Ovis aries: one gene and its partner. The protein of the gene in region 1 interacts with the protein of each later gene in a pairwise test. Links are inferred from orthologs where the notes say so. Each region holds a gene or a part of one and is shown on either strand. Other genes may lie near its edges.

The links.
Region 2: the proteins of RGS20 (region 1) and FASLG interact in binary tests that used the Homo sapiens proteins (3 or more experiments, as listed by UniProt). The two-hybrid records come from large-scale screens. The link is inferred for Ovis aries from reciprocal best matches to the Homo sapiens genes RGS20 and FASLG.

The regions. Positions count from the first base shown.
Region 1 is NC_056062.1:34,890,948-34,895,228, reverse strand, and holds the start of RGS20 (regulator of G-protein signaling 20), read right to left. Parts: upstream 2,878-4,281; 5' UTR 2,804-2,877; coding exon 2,631-2,803; intron 1-2,630. UniProt on the Homo sapiens protein: Inhibits signal transduction by increasing the GTPase activity of G protein alpha subunits thereby driving them into their inactive GDP-bound form.
Region 2 is NC_056065.1:39,431,023-39,435,471, reverse strand, and holds the start of FASLG (tumor necrosis factor ligand superfamily member 6), read right to left. Parts: upstream 3,070-4,449; 5' UTR 2,860-3,069; coding exon 2,524-2,859; intron 1,438-2,523; coding exon 1,392-1,437; intron 1-1,391. UniProt on the Homo sapiens protein: Cytokine that binds to TNFRSF6/FAS, a receptor that transduces the apoptotic signal into cells. Involved in cytotoxic T-cell-mediated apoptosis, natural killer cell-mediated apoptosis and in T-cell development.

The DNA of each region.
Region 1 (4,281 bases):
AAGCCTAATTTCTTTCTTGCTGAGAGATTTTTCCTTTCTTCTTTCTGCTCCCTGCTTTTGCCATAAAAACTCCATTGTCTTGGTAGGTACCTTTGGGGGCCTTGGAGTTTCTCTCTCTCCTTTCAGTGTGTAATGTCTCACAGCAAGGGCTTTGATGGGCTTCTCAAGGGGTCATACACCTGGACCAGGAGAGCACCTAAAAGTCTGCACTCTCAGAGGGACAGCAATTAAAAGGACGTGAAAAATAATTTTATGTGGAAAATTTTCTGGTCTAAGCTCTGATCACTTTTATTACTGGGAAAGAATGCATACATGTGTATGCATCTATCTGTACTGACAGATGGATGGGTAGATAACTGCTCACCAGGGTGGCTGTAAAGTTTCCTCTCTCTCACTTTTATCACTAAAAAGAGCACCTGGTCCAGGGAGCACCCCCTCTCCCACTCGGTCTCTGTGCTCTGAATGGAAGGAAGCAGAAATCCTGGTGGAGAAAAAATAATCCCAATGAAGTCAAGTTCATAAGTGTGTGTCTGTCTGTGTGCCTGTGTAGGTGGAGAGATGTTAATTTATTTTGTAGTAAATTAGCAGTTTTGTTGGGTTCTTTGGGCAGAATGCACAGATAAATCACTACTGAGGAGGCTGGATTCCAGCCTGGGAAATTATAGCCTGCTTCTAAAGCACAGCCAGAATCTATTGACTTAGTAACGAAGTCAGTGTCAGAAAAAACATGGGTTTGAATCACCACTGAGCTGACTGCACACATGTAACAGTGTTTTTTACAAACATGCTTTCTCATCTCTAAAAAAGGTTTGACCACCTCAGCACTTCTGACCTAACGAAATTGGTTAAGAATCCAAATAAAAAAGAATAGCAAGAAGAACCACAATAGACAACGCATTTATGCAACACAAATGAATTGTTATTTTCAGTCTAACCTGCTTTTGGAAGGATTTTTTTTACACATTTAATTCTGAAATTATTATAGATTCACTGGAAGTTTCACAAAAGAATGTACACACAGTGGTCCCACACACTCTTCACACAGTTCCACCCAATGGAAACTGCATAAATTGTACAACATCAAAGCCAGGAGACACACTGGTATAATTCTAAGAGCTCATTCAGATTTCATAAGTTTGTATGCACCCGTGTGTGTATGTGTGTGTGTGGTGGAGGGGTTGCCATTTTCTTCTCCAGGGGATCTTCCTGACCCAGGAATGGAACCCACATCTTCTGCGCTGGCAGGTGAATTCTTTACCACTAAGTCACCTGGGAAGCCCGACAGGTGAGTATAGTTCTATGCAATTTTAACACATGAGAAGGTTTGTGTAACCACTGAAATCAAGTGTAGCTTCCTATTGAACCACTGAAATCAAGTACCTTCCTATTGAAAAAGCTTCCCAATGACTTAACAAACAAACAAACAACTTCTCCTTGTGCCAGTTGGTTAAAATAAGATTGGGGAGGAACTTCCTTGGTTGTCCAATGGTTAAAACTCCATGCTACCAAGGTTCCATTCCTGGTCTGGGAACTTAGACCCCATATGCTGCATGGTGCAGTCAAAAGATAAAACAAAAAAACTATGGGGAAAGGACAGATCTAGATAATTAGAATCTGCAAATACGTGATTATTATGAGGATATGAGCGAAGGCACAGGCACAGTTTCTAGTGCTGCAGAATCTGGACAGGTCTGCGGTTGTAGAATTTATCAGCATTTACTTCTGAGCTCTGATCATTGGTCACAGGCATTAACACATGTCCATCCCCCTCCATACTAAATAGCCTTTTAAGAGGTGTTTCTATTAATAGTTAAGAGGATCGACAGACTTAAACTGTACTTTCTGCAAAGATACACACAACGCTGAATAGGAAAATGGTTACTCTTCGGGGAAATCACATTGTCTACTGATAGAAATTCATGCTTAAGAAATTCATCTAGGCAACTATGACTTTAGGAAAAACACCCTTAGTTCCTAAATGGTCTTTCATGCCTGTATTAGTTTTACCAATTTTTTTTTCCCTCAAGCAATTTTGGTGGAAAGCAATCTATACTTTTTCATTGGTGGTGTTTTAGTCACTCAGTTGTGTTCAACTCTTGCAACCCCACGGACTATAGCCTGCCAGGCTCCTCTGTCGATGGGATTTTCCAGGCAAGAATACTGGAGTGGGTTGCGGGTTCTTTCTCCAGGGGATCTCCCCAACCCAGGGACTGAACCCGGATATCTTATATCTCCTGCATTGCAGGTGGATCCTTTACTGACTGAGCCACAAGGGAAGCCCATTTTTTTTCATTACTATATGGGATATAACTTTTATGTCAGAATATCTAAGCATTGATAGTAGCCATAGAAATCTATGGCTAGGTTTTCTGCTTTTTAAGACATTACTTCCTGAAACAAACAAAATGTAGTCATTTGCTGTTGTAAAGGGAAGCTGTTTATGTTGGAGAAAACTGGAAGAATCAGGTTATTATCAAAGTCCTAGTTTTTCTCTTGGGTTTAGTTTGGAAGCCTTTTTGATACATCTTCAATAAGGTAAAGTGAGCGCTGACACTAAAGCTTTCCTATGGTTTTGTATTCTTTCTGGATAAACCCTTTCCTTGCCAAGAACGGTCACGGACTGGGGAGATGGTCTTACCTTGACATTGTGCGTGGCTGTGGCACATCCTTCATTTTCCACGGTTTGGTGAACATTCACATTATATGGCTCAGCCCACGGCAGAGGCAGAAATCGTATCCTCCTCGATGGTCTGGAGAAATGTTTCTGGTGGCCCTGTTGGTTGTCTTGGGAAAGCCTGGGCATGTTTTTACAATAAAGCCTCAATCGAATCCTGTAGCTTGATTTTAACGGTACCAGCCCAGGGTCCACTCTATTTCTCTTCCTTTGGCTGGTGCTGGGCCATCGCTTCGTCTGCTGGGGGCCTCCCTGTAAAGTCGCATCCCTCGAAGCAAGAGGATTATCTGTGTTGTGGGTCAGCAGTTTATCCACAGTCCGTGGGCTCTATTCCAGGATGAGAGTCTCGGTATGTTCTGACTGCCCTCTACAGGTTGCAAGTGAAGTGAAAGTGAAGTTGCTCAGTTGTGTCAGACTCTTTGTGACCCCATGGACTGTAGCCTATCAGGCTCCTCAGCTCTACAGGTAGCAATGTACTCCTACTTCAAATTTAATGCTAAATCAAAACTGAAAGAAATGATTCAAGTGATATATTGCTTAGTATATCGTGATAAAGGAAATAAATCATGTGGTAATATTCTGCATTTGTAGTGTGTGATATGTGAAAAATTTGGACTATACTCTCGAGAGGCAGAGGAGCCATTTTATCTCAGTCTCGTAAAAGGTCCTTCTAGCAGCAGTCAGCTTTGTGGCTGGAAATGCTTGCTAAACTCATAACCACACTTCACTTCAAAGATTATTACTTTTTATTTATGTCTTGTAGAATTAATTGAGGACTTCCTTGGTGGCTCAGATGGTAAAGAATCCACCTGCAGTGCAGGAGACCTGGGTTTGATTTCTAGGTTGGGAAGATCCCCTGGAGGTGGTCATGGAAAACCACTCCACTGTTCTTTCTGGAGAATCCCCATGGACAGAGGAACCTAGTGGGCCACTGTCCATGGGGTCACAAAGAGTTGGACACGACTGAGTGACTAAGCACAGCACAGCACAGAATTAATTGAAGTAATTTCCTTGTGCGATAGTCATCTAACCATGAAGTCAAAACTTGGCTTCTACATCATACTTCCTTTTTGTAAAGTGCTTTATAAATATCAGATTATTGGACTTTCCCTGGTGGTCCAGTGGTTAAGTCTCTGCGCTTCCACTGCAGGGGGCCTGGGTTTGATCCTTGGTCAAAGGTATCTAAGGCCCAGGTGGCTTCTGCTGGGTCTGGAGGAGTACAGAGGTAAGGACCCCAGGTATGCATTGCTGGGGACTATGAACTGAAAGAACTTCCTTTCATAACATAGTCCCAGGCCCCTAAAATGGATATATAAAACTAACATAAGTTGGACCACACATCATGTTAAAAAATTAACTTGAAATCAATCATAGACCCAAGTTTAAGAGTTAAGATTATAAAACTTTTAAAAGGAAACTTAGGAGAAAATATTTGTGATCTCAGATGAGGCAAAGCCTTCTTAGACATGATACCAAAAAGCACAAGTGACAAAAAAAAACAAAACAAAACAGGCAAACTGGATTTCATCAAAATGAAAACCTTTTGTTTTTCAAAGGACATCATCAAAAGAGTGAAAAGACACCCACAAAATAGGGTAAAATATGGC
Region 2 (4,449 bases), on another chromosome or scaffold:
ACCAGTATCTCCTACAAGAGCCTACCTGCTAGGGCAATAGGGTGACTTGGTTTCTCAGGCACAGCCTGAGAATTTGGAGCAGGCTTCCCCAACTAGATGACCAGTGCTGTCTTCTCTTTGCAGAGGCATCTTGCCTGTCGTCCTTATTTCTCATTCCATGCCCATCAGAGATAGATAGGAGTAGGAGTTTCCCTGTGTCACAGGGCCGGAGCACACACTGGTAAGAGCTGGAGGTGGCAAGGCATCAGGAGCCTGAGCTCCTTCTCAGCCCCATTCCACAGCAGAGGTCTTGGGGACATTACTAATCCATCTGGTGTTTTGCTTCTCTTCTGAAAGGTGAGAAGACTGGACCAGATGTTCTCTAACCTCCTTTCCATCTTAGTTTAACGAGTATTCTAAATCCACAGTTTCCAAAACTATGTCCTGAAACTTTAGGAGGCCGATGTTCAACATTGTCATCTTCCTGTCCTGAATTTCACACAGAGGATTTCCCTTTATTATCAAAAGCAGCGCATGATTGTCTCTGAGTGAAGTGGGACTACCCTCTGTAAAATGCCTAACGTCTTCCTCCAAGCTTTCCAGCGGCTGCAAAAGAACCACCCTAATGTGGATGACTGGTTGCCCACTCTTTAAAAGCTTAAATATAACCTATTAAAATTTTAAATCAGGTCTGACTCTTAAGTAATTTTTTTTTTTTTTTTTTGCTATTGCTAAGTCACTTCAGTCATGTCCGACTACGTGTGACCCTATAGATGGCAGCCAACCAGGCTCCCCCATCCCTGGGATTCTCCAGGCAAGAACACTGGAGTGGGTTGCCATTTCCTTCTCCAATGCATGAAAGCGAAAGGTGAAAGTGAAGTCACTCAGTCATGTCCGCTTAGCGACCCCATGGACTGCAGCCTACCAGGCTCCTCCATCCATGGGATTTTCCAGGCAAGAGTACAGAGATTAAATAGGAGAGCAAGGATCTTTCCCAGCAACAGCTGTGTCTGTCTGCACCTTCCCTTCTCTCCTGAGGAGCTATAGCCACCGCCCTGTACATGGGAATCAGGAGGCCTGAGGAAGGGGGCAGGCCTGGAGCCAGCTGCTTGGGGTGTGGGGGGTGGGCAAAGGTCCAGGGTTGTACATCTGTGTTTCTCTTTCCAAATTCAAGCAGAAATTAGTTTTGAATTTTTCTGTGATACTTAACTAATTTTGAACAGTTAAACTCACTTCATATTTTAGGGCAGTTTCAAGAACCAAAATGACAAGAGATTTCAGAATTGGTTAGGATTTCTCTTCTATAGTCTATATATGCCTAAGAATAAGGTGGAATTCAAGGTACTCCTCCAACATGGTTGGTGCTGAGGACTGTTTTTAGAAACTCAACGTGCAAGCATAAAAAAACTCACCTATTTGCTTCTCCACAGATGATGCTGTATGCCTCTGGCTGGTGGACTGGCAAAAGAGAAAAGATACATAATAACTAGATAGCACATTCAAAAGCAGAGACATTACTTTGCCGACTAAGGTCCGTCTAGTCAAGGCTATGGTTTTTGCAGTAGTCATGTACGGATGTGAGAGTTGGACTGTGAAGAAGGCTGAGCGCCGAAGAACTGATGCTTTTGAACTGTGATGTTGGAGAAGACTCTTGAGAGTCCCTTGGACTGCAAGGAGATCCAACCAGTCCACTTTGAAGGAGATCAGCCCTGGGATTTCTTTGGAAGGAATGATGCTACAGCTGAAATTCCAGTACTTTGGCCACCTCATGAGAAGAGTTGACTCACTGGAAAAGACTTTGATGCTGGGAGGGATTGGGGGCAGGAGGAGAAGGGGACGACAGAGGATGAGATGGCTGGATGGCATCACTGACTCAATGGATGTGAGCCTGAGTGAACTCCAGGAGTTGGTGATGGACAGGGAGGCCTCACGTGCTGCAATTCATGGGGTCGCAAAGAGTCGGACACGACTGAGCGACTGAACTGATGAAGTTCTTTAAGCAAAGGAAGAAGAACTGTCAAATAAACTAAGCACTGGAAAGGGAATCTAAGCACCCAGAACCTCTCCTAACTCAGACTCTGGCCAAGCAATTGTGCCTGTCCATGCCTCAGTTTTGTGATTTGAAATAGTTCTAATAATTTTAAGCACTTTCAAGGAAATTTAGTTTGTGCATTTGAACAAATTCACTTCTCAGATGCCAAGTCCCTTTTCTTTCTTGAATCGAGTATGAGGTAGGTAGCAGAGTTCTTCCTCTCTCAGATGATCAGCCAACTGATCATCTGCCAGTCCTGATTTGATCCTGATCCCTCCCAAGATAGAAAATATTCCTTCCACCCATTTGAGCCCCCATTTCTCTGCAGGCAGAACAGGATGGCTAGCGTGATTCATTTCTAAGACAGGAAGAAAGGATTGAGAAGTATGCTGCAAGCCAAGTGTGGTCCATGTGGATTTCTGTCGCCCTCCTCCCCCACTGCAGCAGGGCAGTTTCACCCCATCCCCCACCTCCGCACATTCCAGGGTGCGGCAATCCCCCAGGCAGCTTACCTCTCTGAGTTCGGCCAACTCCTTCTGCAGATGGAAGAGCTGAAATATCCCCAGCCCCAGTCCAACCAGGGCCACCAGAACCATGAAAAACACCACAAGGAGACACAGGCCTGTGTTGTGGCCCCTCCTCTTCTTCAGAGGTGGTGGCGGTAGTGGAGGCAGGGGTGGCGATGGCGGTAGTGTTGGGGGTGGCGGTGGTGGTGGCCTCCTTTGCCCCGGCCTTCCTGGCACTGAGGACGGACAGGGGAAGACTGATCCTGGAGAGGCCCAGGGGGAGCTGGCACTGCTGTCCACCCAGAAGATTGAGGGGTATGGGTAATTCAAGGGCTGCTGCATGGTATCCAGTGCCTCAGGCCAGCCCCCAGCCAAGGGTTTTCCTCTTCCTCAGTCGTGCGGAGGCCCAGGTGTCAAGGGCCGGACTCCTATTTCTGACTGCTCATGAGAAGGAAGCCGGTTCTCTCTTTATAGAGTTTCCAGAACCAAGGGAAACACCTCTCTTTCGTTCTCTCTTTCTGCTTCTCAAAGAGACACCCACTCACTCTGCATCTGAACCTGAGAAGCTTCAAGAAGCTCAGAGCAAACCCCCGGAAGTTTCCGCCCACAACTTTCTGATGAAAGCTTTCAAAACCCCAGTCGCTGCTGCCCTGCTCCCTGAAAGGCTGGTAGGGTGGGCTCGTTGTCCTCAGGCCCTGAGACGGGGGTAGCGTCAGCGCAGCTCTGTAGGCTCCGGCCGCTGTTCAGCTACAAGGAGAGTGGCCTGTGGGGCGAAAGCACCGAGTCACGGCCAGAGGAGTCACTTCTGGGTCTTACCTTTGGCAGGAGGGAATCACCCCCTGCTGCCATCCCTCCCCCACACCCAAGTACTGTTTACCCTGACACAGCAAAGCACCGTAGTTTACAGGTTACAAACTTGCCTGCCTACTCTATAATAGATCAGAGATTGCAAACCAGTGGCCATATGCCTCACAGAGCCCTCAGACCTGCTTTGCTTGTGCCTTACAATGTTGTTTATTTCTATTTACCGTCCTCCTCAAAAAACGGGATAGTCCATAATGCAGACATTCATCTCTGTTTTGCTGAGTCTAAAACTTAGGCCAGAAAAGCACAAGATAAACCAACCACAGATGCCTGGGGCAAAAGATTACCGTTGAGACTCACAGTGGACTGCTGTTATGGACTGAATAGTGTTCTTCCAAAGTGTAAGCACCGAATCCCAATCCCCAGTGTAATTGTATTTGGAGATAATGCCTTTAAGGTGTAATTAAGGTTAAATGAGGTAGTCTGAGTGGGACCCTAATCCAACATGATTAATGTCCTTATAAGAAGAGGTAGAGGGCTCCCTTGGTGGTCCAATGGTTGAGAATCTGCCTTGCAATGCAGGGGACACATATTCCATTCTTGCTCTAGGAAGATCCCACATGGCATGGGGCAACTAAGCCCTACAGCTGCAACCACTGAACCCACGTTCCCTAGAGCCCATGCTCTACAAAGAGAGAAGTCACGGCAATGAGAAGCCCATGCTTGTCTACAACTAGACAAAGCCCACACACTGACAAGGAGCCAGCATAGCCAAAAATAAAGAAATAAATACTTCCTGAAAAAAAGAAGAAGCGGTAGAGACAGCAGGGAGGCATATGTACACAGAAAAGGCCAAGTGAGCACACAGCAAGAAGGTGGTTATCTGTAAACCATGAAAAGAGGACTCAGGAGAAACCAGCCCTACTGACTCTTTGATCGTGGACTTCTATCATCCAGAACTGAGAAAATAAACTTTTGTTGTGTAGGCCATTCAGAAAAATTGGGATAGTCCATATATGTTATAGTCATATTGGGTTTTGAAACACTAGAATATTGGGCAGTCTGGAGGCCCTGTCTGCAAACCCAGTCAGCTGGAGTTGGGCCACTGTTGCAGCTCTCAAGGTCAGG